Linked DNA regions of Arabidopsis thaliana. The protein of the gene in region 1 purifies or fractionates together with the protein of each later gene. This does not show direct contact. Each region holds a gene or a part of one and is shown on either strand. Other genes may lie near its edges.

Region 1 (3,754 bases):
GAGCTGTTCTTGAAACTCTTGAAGATCCGTCCTCGATGTGGAGTGCCTTAATGTCTTTCGTGTAGAAATCCCATGAACAAAAGCCAGATTCTAAGGTATTCCCAGCAGAAGCAGCTACGACATATCTGCCTGAGCAGCCATCAGCACCCGGTGCACGAACTACCCAGCAATCTCTCCAAGTGTTTGGTGAGATACCATCTGGAGGACTGTACACAGATTTCACCTGAAAAAGAATTTCAAGTCTTTGATGTAAAAGATAATAATGCATACATAGTGAACAAAGCCAAAAACTCCAGTCACTTCATACAAACGCACCCAGATTGACAGAGAATTACATTCATTAACCATAAACTGTGCATACTATTAGCCCAAAATAAAGCTTTAGTCACTAAGTATTTCTGCAAGTATAAGATGAAAAATCCAATCTAAATCAAAATAAGATATGCTAAACATCTTCTCGTAACTTGAGATATGTGTATGTTGTGGTCAATATGAGATTTTAAAATCAATGTTCCACACTAGCACAGTTCAAGTTAGATCAAACATGATACTAAAAACTTTTCATAAATGAAGAAACGCATAGTACCTCAGAGTTAGCGACATCGTAATAGGAACACGAGCCATCATCATGAGCAAGTATAACTGCCTCGCCCTCTGATACAAACCATCCTCCTGTAGAAGTTTTGGACCCAATGTCATTGAGTTGATACATGCATCCATCATCTATTTCTTCCAGCTCCATCTCCTCTCTATTCTCTTCATCATCAATTTCCTCGAGGGCTTCGTTTGCTCTAAGAATTTCAGTTAAGTTGGAAGTCAGATTGACGTCTTTTGAGACATCATTTTCCTTTGACGGCTCCTCTGTATCCATCTCCTGCACTTCCAGATTTTCCAGCGCATTCTGATCACTCATAAATGTGACTTTTTCCTTGTCAAGTGAGGCCAAGAACTCTAGAGCTATCGCATTCTCCTCAACAGGAGCTGACGGCTTTTCTTCAGCATTCACTGCCTTGTTGGACTCAACAGAATCATGGCCTTTTGAGACATGCGAAGATGTTTTGGACTGAGTTCTGCTCCTTAGCAACCTCTGGTGAGGCAAGAGTCTGTCTTCCAGCTCTTCCTTATTTAATCCTTTCACAGAACTTTTTGCTTTCGTAGTTTTGTTTTTCTCTGGACCATCAATAACATGACTCATAGACTTTTCAATCCCTGTGATTTTCTGATGTATATCAGAGATTATAACCTTAGACGAATCCGGATTGTTCAAATCCAGCATATCCTTTGTCTTCTTGATATCTGATGCAATTTTCTTAACCTTTCCTTCAAGAAAAGCAAGCTTCTCGTGCAGCTTGCTTGGATACTTAGCAGTACTATTGCTGCTTCCTTCATTTCCTCTTATATCCTTTGACATCTCCATTGCCTTCCCAACATTATCCAAAGACTTCCTTCTTAAAGCTACACTAGTCCCTTTCCCAGTCTTTTCAATCTTACTATCAGATTTCAAAGCAACAGTAGATTTCTCTCCAGAACCAACTAAAGCATGTGCCTTTGGATCAGAAATTGAATTTCTCGCCACACTAGAACCTTCAAATTTGCTTGAATTCACTGGACAACTACTTCCTTCATCTGCTTTCTCACAAACACTACTTGGCTCAACCTTAATTTCACTCGTACCCTGTTTGAATCCAGAACTCTTGAGCCCAGACTTCTTATCCTGACCCGATTCACCCTTTTCCCCAATAACCCTAGATTCATTTCTCTTTCTCAAATCCGAGAAAACCCTAATCAAATCAGATGGACTAGAACTCCTACCTCGCAAACCAGATGACGTGGATCGCGTAACCCGACCCTCGCCACTCACGGCGGACTTATCAATGCGCGGTACAGGCCGGAGCACTGGCTTCTGAGTCGATCCAAATGAGCGGTGACTAAGCTTCGGATTCGGATTCTCTTTGCTGGATAATGATTTCTGAAGAGCGGGATTTGAATTTTTGCTTGAGATCGGAAGTGGAGTTACAGACCTCAATGGTTTTTTACCAGATGATGGATTTTCACCGGCGCCGGTGTTTATATCTTTTAGCCGGCGGCGATTCGTTGAAGCTGACATCTGCAAAATCGTAGGGTAAAATGATTTAGGATTTTGAAAAAAAAGTTTGGGGGAAAAATAAAAGCTTTTGATTTTTGAAGAAAAAGCACAAAACGATAAATGGAGGATATCACTACCGCAACTCCACAAGCCGACAAATTTATTAGAGTTTCAATTTCAAAATATTTGGGCGGGATTTCCAAAAAAAAAACTCAAAATTTTTGGAGATCGCGAATGTTCAAAAAGTCGATTGATTAACGAAACGCAGCGTTTAGGTAAATTTATTAAACACGTGATAGCAACAAATGCAGAACGCGACATTTTGAAACACGTGGCAGTGTAGAAATAGCGACACGAATTTTGTTAACTAAAACGCTGCGTTTTTAATAAAATATACAGTAACAGTTGAATAGTTGATTGCGACACGAAACGATGCGTTTAGGGTATGCTGTTTTTAAAACACGTGGCAGCAACAAATAAACCGAAACGCAGCGTTTTGAGGTGGTTATTAACGTGAAAGGTCTCGCCAGTTTTTGTGTTTCATGCATTAGTACACGAAACGTTGTCTTCTACTTCTCGGGGAAACGACACAACCGTAGATTTGATGTCTGAATCTGTGTATATATAACTTCTCCAATTAGAGACACTAACACAGAATTGATCACTACTCCTATCGAAAAGTAGACGAAAATGGCGAATGAGTATGGATTCGGGATGGGTTCGGTTTTGGCGATTGTTGTCGTTGCACTAATGTTACTGTTTGTTCCGTTGATGATGGGACCGGTGACTGCACCATCTCTTCCAATGATCTTGATGTTTCCGGTCGTATTGCTCTTTGTGTTTCTCTATCTCCATTTTACTTCCAAGTGATCAAACATCAAATCTCTTTCTATTATTATCGTGTAATATGCAGTACGTATTTATTTCGATAGTATTGCTCTTACGTTTTTGGTTATACATTTATAAAAACAAAAATTGTATTTGTTCTATTATATACAATATATCAATTGACTAACGCATGCGCAGTTGGTTTGGATCTCTATTGATTTGCAAGTAAATTTTTTGGATTTATCTTTCTTTCTCACTTCGTTTCTTACATTATTAGAGAATTTGACTTACATCGCGATGTATGTTTTACAAGCAAGTAGAATCGATGCCACTTTCCTTAGATATTAGCGTAGTAGACAATGTCAATGATCGAGAAATATACACAAAAGTACCTAACTTTTGTCAGCATGAACAGATTTGAATGATATTACGTAATTGTAGAGAAGAAACTTACCTTAAAATTAACACCTCTAAAAGGTAAGAATGTGTTAGTAGAAAATGGCTATTCATATTGTAAAATTAAAAGGCCGTATAATTAGTACAGAGGAATTCGACTTGGAAACAGAAAATTAGAGATTAAATAAAACACGAATTTTAAATAACGGAAATAAAACTTTAGTGTAAATTATCTATACCCATAATATATATAGTACCAGAATCTAAGTATAATAAAGTAAAAAAAGAAAAACTGAAGTAGCATCCTTGACCGTCACCACATCTTCCGCCGCTGGCTGCCTGGCTCCACCACCACCACTACTACATTCACCGGTTCATTGTCAATACCACCACCAACAGGTCCTTCTCCTCTATCACCACAGCAGCCAGGACCACCACAGCAGA
Region 2 (3,754 bases), on another chromosome or scaffold:
AGGAGAAGATGCGATAAACAAGGGGGAAGTTGTTGCACCTAAAACACCAGAGGTTAGAGAACAGAACAGCAAGGAAGTGCCAATGTCTGGAAAGCAATCTAATGCATGGCAAGCCATACCTAAGCCTAAGGGTCATTCAACACTCGATTACGCCCGTTGGAATACAGTTGAAGATGATTCCAGTGAAGAAGAAGACGATGAAGACAGCGATGACAGTGATGAGTCGCCACCTCAGTACAGATTCCGTGTTAAGACAGTCGGGGTGCGTCCTGTGAAGTGAAACATTGTAGATAGGAACATGGGATGGTTTCTTTCATCCTGATATATTGCATATTGCACAGGAGAGCTGTGAAAAAAGCATTAGAGTGAAGGGGATAGTGATACCAAAGCAGACTAGTCATGTTTTGAATTGCCTCTTCTGTAATTGGTTTCAGCGGTCACCATGTATCAATGTGCTGTGTCTTTTTATACATCTTCGAAAAGAAACATACCGAGTTTAGATAAGATACACAATACAGAAGACCATGTTCAAACCAAATGGCCTGTTGTTCTATTTGTTAATACTTTCTTTGCCTCAGAGACTCTGCTTTGTTATCACCATGAAGATGATAATGATTTAGAATTGAACAGAAATGGAATTTACAAGCTTCATTATTGATAAGTCACAAAAATACATCACTGCCAAAGTTTTGTATTCATGACATTACCAAAGCTAGATTTGATTAGCTCATATGAATAGGCCCATGCCTTTATCTATTCCTTCTCCCATCCCTTGCTTCTCTCCCATTTCCACTGTGTGTCTCTCTTGCCGTTCCTTTATAATCTCTATGACTCCGACGATCATCATCTCTATCTCGTCAACTCTCCACATGGTGTATTCATCTTCCCTATTGTCTCTTTCTTTTCTCTCTGTGTTTCTTCTCCCTACCAATACCATCATCATTCCTCCTCTCCATTTCCCTTAACTCATCCCGATGATGCTGTCTTCTACCAATGTACTTATCTGCCTTGTTCTCATTGTCACTTTCATCTCTGTTGCCATCTTTTGCCTTCTCCATTACCACGAGGACTTGTCCGACGAATCTTCTCCCTAACACCCCTCTCATCCCTGTCATGACTCATGACTATGAACCCTCTTGGGGATTTCAGGTACATCACCCTCAAATACCATATCATAGCCGTACAAAAATCTGGAAATCCAACATAACAGGAGGTTAGAAAAGTTGACAAACTAATGGCATTGACAGTAGGAAACACAAATAAGGAGGTGGCAAAGCAGCACATTAGGCAACACAGAGTAAAGGACTCAAAAGATTAAGTATGGCCAAAATATCCACATATGATTAGAGATCGTAAGAAGAAAACAACATCTTACTTGTACATTGAATCCCCACCAGCTCCTGTGATCACCGGTCTGTGCTGTGAAATCTTTTTGCACTGTGTGGAAGAGACACCCATTGTAGTACTTGATCCTATCCATATAGTAAGTTAAACCCCTTAAGAGACATAATGAATATCATGGAAATGTTACTTAGTAGATAGGCAAAAAGACACTTACTTGCAGATCTTAAGAAAGTTTTTTGCAGGTCAAAGGGCATTTATTTGTTAGATATCAATCACTCTATCCCCAAGACTTGTCACAATAAGAACTGACATGTTCACTACCTGCATAACCTGAAACCAAAAATTAGAAGTGAGAAGAAAGTAGTACGCTTTTTCACTAGCTTATCTCATTCATCAACAAACCCGAGCATTACTGTTGGGGAAGGGAAGAAAAAAGAAGAACCAAAGTTGAGTTTTTCAGATATCGTTCAAGTTCTTGGGGTTTAAAAGAAGGGTTAAATTGTAACAAAACCAAAGTTGAAGGTATTTAAATAAGAACAAATAGCTAAAGGGGTTTAAACATGAAATATATAAAAGGTCAGGGTTTCATGGTCAATATATAACTATCTCTCTCTGTCTCGGACAAAGACAAATAAAAAGTGCGAATCTTCCAATAAAAACACGCCACGTAGTTTATTTAGGCAGCCGAAGATCCCGAGGGCCCTTTGCGATGTCTCAAAGCGGCGGTGACTTCAACCTCTCCGACGAGATTCTCGCCGTGATTCCCACCGACCCTTATGATCAACTCGACCTCGCCAGGAAGATCACTTCCATGGCTATCGCTTCAAGGGTTTCGAATCTGGAATCTCAAGTCTCCGGCTTGAGACAGAAGCTTCTTGAGAAGGATCGGCTTGTTCATGAACTTGAAGACAGAGTCTCTTCCTTTGAAAGACTTTACCATGAAGCTGACTCGAGTTTGAAGAATGTTGTCGATGAAAATGTAATAATTCTCCTCAGTTTTGTTAAATTTGGTTTGACTTGGATCATCAAAGTGTGTCTTTTACTCAATTGGTTGAATTTTTGGATTTTTGGATTGAAGATGAAACTGACTCAAGAACGAGATTCACTGGCAATCACTGCGAAGAAACTCGGTCGTGATTATGCAAAGGTTCTTTCTTTTCAAATGTTATGGTATTGATTTTTGTTGAAATTTAATCATTTGATTTCAAGCTCAAGCTCTAGTGTTTTGCTTGTAGTTGGAAGCATTCAAGAGACAATTGATGCAGTCATTGAATGATGATAATCCATCTGTATGTTACTCAACACTATACTTCTTTTGACATCCTTTTATATATGAAACAAAACAAAATCAGATGTTACATACTCTCCTCTTGTTTTTACAGCAAACTGAGACTGCTGATGTCAGAATGGTTCCTCGAGGCAAAGGTATTGTAACATCATCTCAAGTATTCTGAGCTTATTGGTCTTCATTGTCTTTCCTTTTTCTTTATGTGTTAGTCTCTTCAAGAGTTGCTTGTTCTGATGTTATTTACTCTGTATGCATTGTAGATGAGAATTCAAATGGATCCTACTCAAACAATGAAGGTATTGATTGCTGAGTTATCCAATAATTTAGTTTGTAGCAACAAAAGAACATACGTTAGTCCAGAAGACTTGTTGATGTTTTCAATATAATGAAGAACAAAAAAAAACATTTTCAATGTGTAATGGTTCATGAAACAGGTTTAAGTGAAGCGAGGCAAAGACAGTCTATGACTCCGCAGTTCTCTCCCGCGTTTACACCAAGCGGAACACCAAAGATCTTATCTACTGCTGCTTCTCCGAGAAGCTACTCTGCTGCTTCATCGCCAAAGCTATTCTCTGGAGCTGCATCTCCAACATCTTCACATTATGATATACGTATGTGGTCTTCAACTAGCCAGCAATCTTCAGTAGCAAACTCTCCTCCACGCTCGCATTCTGTTTCAGGTTCACAACTTTAAAGCATTCTAATATGTTGTCTAAATTTATATCATGTGATTTGTGGCTTTGTTCTTATCCTCTCACTTGATCTTATACAGCTCGGCATCCGCGGATTGATGGGAAAGAGTTCTTTAGACAAGCCAGGTATATATAAGTTCTAAAGTTCCTAGAGCCAGCAACTAGTATATGAGAATGAGTGATAGATAGATAAGGAATTGTTTTGAATTTTCAGGAGCCGTTTGTCTTACGAACAGTTCAGTGCATTCCTGGCTAACATCAAGGAACTTAACGCCCGGAAGCAGGGCCGCGAGGTAATAACCTCATAAGCCATAACATAGTCCTTAACCAACTCTTTTAGTCTGAAATTTGTATAATGTTTGAATCCTAAAATGGTCTTATCTAATCTTTATCGCCAGGAAACATTACAGAAAGCAGAGGAAATATTTGG
Region 3 (3,754 bases), on another chromosome or scaffold:
TATATCTACGTTTGGCTAAACATCTATCAAGTGATTTATTATTATTCACTTTGTGTTAGGCGAGATTTTCACAAATTTATAAATTACTCCGGTTGGTAAATTAACCTAATAGAAATGAAATTCTGCGTCTTACATATCCAGAAAATAACGTTATCAGAGATATGTGTTATGACTGTAAATTAAGGATTTAAAATTGATTCGGGTAGAACGTGAGAGCTAAATGGACGTGACTTTCGAAGGACCAATTTTAGATGAAGCAGCATTATACGATTTGTTGGCGTGTGAATATGATTCTTCTACTTTTCTTTTTCAGTATTTATATCATTATTTTTGCTTCAAATAAGCAATTATTTAGCTGTACGTTGATAACTTGATAGTGTGTTTCAAGGAAAAAAAAGTTAGTCATACATTAAAAAAAAGTTTTTAAAGTTTAGGAAAAAGGTATAGAAGATGAGTTGAATCATACTATTAAAGTGTTTCGTACATAAACAAATTGTATAAAGTTAAAGTTTTGGGTTAGTTCGGGTTACAATATCACATCGAACAAATTATTAAACAACGGTATTCATGAATTTATCCAAAGTTTATATAAAGCGCAAGTAAAGTAAATAGTACCATAACGCCAAGAATCTAACCATTTTTTTGGGTTAGAAATTCATTTAATTTTGTAATTAATGTCAATATACATCATCTGATTTTGTTTTATTAAATAGACTTTAAGCTTTTTTTCCACAAATATTTAGTGCCTTGAGATTTCCTTTAATTGCCTTTAAGATATTGTTTTGAGTGTCAATGCTTAAAATCATTTGGGCCTGAACAATTAAGATAAGGCCCTTTCATTGTAGTAGACTGTTTAAGGTCCAAAAATAATACAATAACTTTGGGCCTTTTTAAGTAAAATTATATGTAGATTTTAGAGAATTCAGAAGTTATCCCTCTAAAGCTCAATTTTTCTCCCACACACTTTTTTCTTCTTTCATAAAGTAGACCCACCAAAACTTTTGTAATCAATTTTTTTTTTCTTGGTATAAATACGAGTGAGTAATTATTTACCTTCAATGTCACGCTATCTGGTCGGTCCAAAATTCCAAAAGAATTAATAACAAAAAAAAAAAATCATATGCACCACACAGATCTGCGTGTGCCATTATCATTTAATCAATTAAAATTCGATTTTCATTGCACCTTTGTCATGATCATCATCTTATGGTACCATCCTTTTATCGTATTAAAATTAGTAATATATACAGAGACTACTGATACGAAAAGTAAAATAAATACAGAGACTACTGTAGATACTCATTGCACCGTAATTTTGAAATGATCATTGTGTTTATTTTTTTAGTTTCTTCTACATTTTCAACAAATAAACAAGCTCTATTTGATAAATTCCTGACTCTATAATATTTTGATCGGTATTACTATTAAAAAAGGACCGAACAATGAACTGAAATCGAACACGAGAAGGCGTCGTTAACGCACAGCACAAAATATTTTGTGTCTTAAAAGACGTTTTGGTGTCTCTGTCATTTTATTATTTTTAATTTGTTTTGTTTATTAAAAAAAGAAGAAGAACAAAGCAAAAACGACATCGTATGATACTCATTGCTTCGGCCTTCATTTTTATATCTGAGAGAGAGACAAAGAGACAAAAGTAAGAAACACATTTTTTTTGGATTTGGAGGTAATAAATTTCAAAAACTTTTGAATGTTTTCATTTGGAATCTGAGGTTGTCTGCTCGAGAATTTTGGTGGGTTTGTGCTGAAATCTGGAATAGGATTAGGGTTTTTTCGTGAATTTGAAAATGGCGGAGCAGAAGAGTACCAATATGTGGAACTGGGAGGTGACTGGGTTCGAATCGAAGAAGTCGCCTTCTAGTGAGGAAGGCGTTCATCGGACACCGTCTTCTATGCTTCGACGGTACTCGATCCCGAAGAACTCGCTTCCACCGCACTCGTCGGAGCTTGCGTCTAAGGTTCAGAGTTTGAAGGATAAAGTTCAGGTGTGATAATGTTTTTCTGAGATTTGTATATTTGGGTTTGAGTAAGAATTATGTTTCTAAGCTCTTTCTATTGATGAGTTTGAAATTTGTGAAAGATGATGATTTTAATGTTTAGACGAGTATAGAGGTGATGTTTTGTACAAGTTTTAAGTACAATGATGCTATTTTGCGGTTGTGTGATTAAGCTATTTTTTAAGAAAATTTGGTTTTGGTTGAATAGCTTGCAAAGGACGATTATGTGGGATTGAGACAGGAAGCTACTGATCTTCAAGAGTACTCCAATGCGAAGCTTGAAAGGGTTACACGTTATTTAGGTGTTCTGGCTGATAAAAGTCGTAAACTGGGTAAGTTTTTAGTTCCCGTCTGTGTATTCCATGTGAAAGTGTAGTTTATTTTTGGCCACTATGCATTATTAGAGTGTATGCATCTATATCTATGTATCTCTTGTGATAGGAATTTTGTTACAATTCGGGAATGTGTTTTGTTCACTTATCTGCATAGCCTATCACAGATCAATATGCACTTGAGACTGAGGCTAGGATATCTCCACTTATCAATGAGAAGAAGAGACTGTTCAATGACTTACTGACGACCAAAGGTGCACATCTTCCATTTCCGACGTCATTCTCTATCCTTACTTCTATTGATATTGATCACACCAGGTTTAGATTGTTCTATATGACCCTGAATGTATAGTTTATTGTTTAATCTTTCAGGGAATGTAAAGGTATTTTGTCGAGCAAGACCCTTATTTGAAGACGAGGGTCCCTCTATCATTGAATTTCCTGATAACTGCACTATACGCGTAAACACTAGTGATGATACTCTGTCCAATCCCAAGAAGGAATTTGAATTTGATAGAGTTTATGGGCCTCAAGTTGGACAAGGTGAGTTATAATACTCCTTAAGAACTGTTTCCAATACTTTTGTAAATATGTAATCCGGAACTTATTCAGTAAAATTTCCTCAGCTTCACTGTTCAGTGATGTCCAACCTTTTGTGCAATCCGCTCTGGATGGATCGAACGTTTCTATATTTGCGTATGGCCAAACTCACGCGGGGAAGACATACACCATGGTTGCCCCTCCTTTCCCTTTCCTCTCTGAAATTAGATATAGGTCTTGTTTGGTATCCGTATTATCGATGTTGTTATGCTTAGTATCTAACTTGAGGTACATGCATACAAAATAATTTTTTCGAAGTTGCTAAAATGACAGGGGGTATGAACAGTCTTCTAATATACTCATTCTTTTTACTGCTTATTTGCATGTTTATGGTTTCAATACTTTTTGGCTCTAACCAAGCCGAGGATATCTATGTGATTGAACTTTGAAATCGCAAAAAAGTTTCATGTTATTTGACAGGATTTAAATATGATAGGCAAGTTCATGGACGTTCATAGTAAGTTCATGGACGTTCATAGTATTATCTTATCGATTTACGAGAGATTTATATATCAGGCAATTGCTCTCTGTTGATGTTAGTTATATGCTGTCGCTTTTTCTCAGGAAGGATCTAATCAGGACCGTGGTTTATATGCTCGTTGTTTTGAGGAACTTATGGACTTGGCCAATTCTGATTCAACTTCCGCATCTCAGTTCAGTTTCTCTGTTTCAGTGTTTGAGCTTTATAACGAACAGGTGCTTTGTTTTTTCGTTTTGAAGTCGTAATACTGCATTCGATACTAGAATGGAAATTGAAAGTCTTTTCTAATTCAGAAACTTTCATTTTTTAGGTCAGGGATTTACTCT

What was found.
Region 2: the proteins of AT4G14310 (region 1) and AT1G56080 purify together in Arabidopsis thaliana (affinity purification with mass spectrometry, with the first as the bait; one large-scale study listed by BioGRID). This does not show direct contact.
Region 3: the proteins of AT4G14310 (region 1) and KAC2 purify together in Arabidopsis thaliana (affinity purification with mass spectrometry, with the first as the bait; one large-scale study listed by BioGRID). This does not show direct contact.

The regions. Positions count from the first base shown.
Region 1 is NC_003075.7:8,238,218-8,241,971, forward strand, and holds the start of AT4G14310 (Transducin/WD40 repeat-like superfamily protein), read right to left. Parts: upstream 2,108-3,754; coding exon 587-2,107; intron 352-586; coding exon 271-351; intron 224-270; coding exon 1-223. Other genes in the region: AT4G14315 (uncharacterized protein), read left to right, coding at 2,777-2,956; AT4G14320 (Zinc-binding ribosomal protein family protein), read right to left, coding at 3,624-3,754. UniProt on the Arabidopsis thaliana protein: Might be involved in division plane determination.
Region 2 is NC_003070.9:20,974,515-20,978,268, reverse strand, and holds the start of AT1G56080 (interactor of constitutive active ROPs protein), read left to right. Parts: upstream 1-1,896; 5' UTR 1,897-2,053; coding exon 2,054-2,323; intron 2,324-2,422; coding exon 2,423-2,491; intron 2,492-2,579; coding exon 2,580-2,633; intron 2,634-2,726; coding exon 2,727-2,769; intron 2,770-2,892; coding exon 2,893-2,928; intron 2,929-3,066; coding exon 3,067-3,312; intron 3,313-3,404; coding exon 3,405-3,450; intron 3,451-3,538; coding exon 3,539-3,617; intron 3,618-3,722; coding exon 3,723-3,754. Other genes in the region: AT1G56090 (Tetratricopeptide repeat (TPR)-like superfamily protein), read left to right, coding at 1-280; AT1G56085 (Cyclophilin), read right to left, coding at 728-924, 1,062-1,190, 1,369-1,496, 1,747-1,754.
Region 3 is NC_003076.8:26,167,053-26,170,806, reverse strand, and holds the start of KAC2 (kinesin like protein for actin based chloroplast movement 2), read left to right. Parts: upstream 1-1,615; 5' UTR 1,616-1,805; coding exon 1,806-2,003; intron 2,004-2,223; coding exon 2,224-2,347; intron 2,348-2,514; coding exon 2,515-2,601; intron 2,602-2,719; coding exon 2,720-2,890; intron 2,891-2,973; coding exon 2,974-3,080; intron 3,081-3,251; exon of another isoform or gene 3,252-3,383; coding exon 3,384-3,404; intron 3,405-3,511; coding exon 3,512-3,643; intron 3,644-3,738; coding exon 3,739-3,754. UniProt on the Arabidopsis thaliana protein: Kinesin-like protein required for chloroplast movements and anchor to the plasma membrane. Mediates chloroplast movement via chloroplast actin (cp-actin) filaments. Required for the chloroplast avoidance response under high intensity blue light.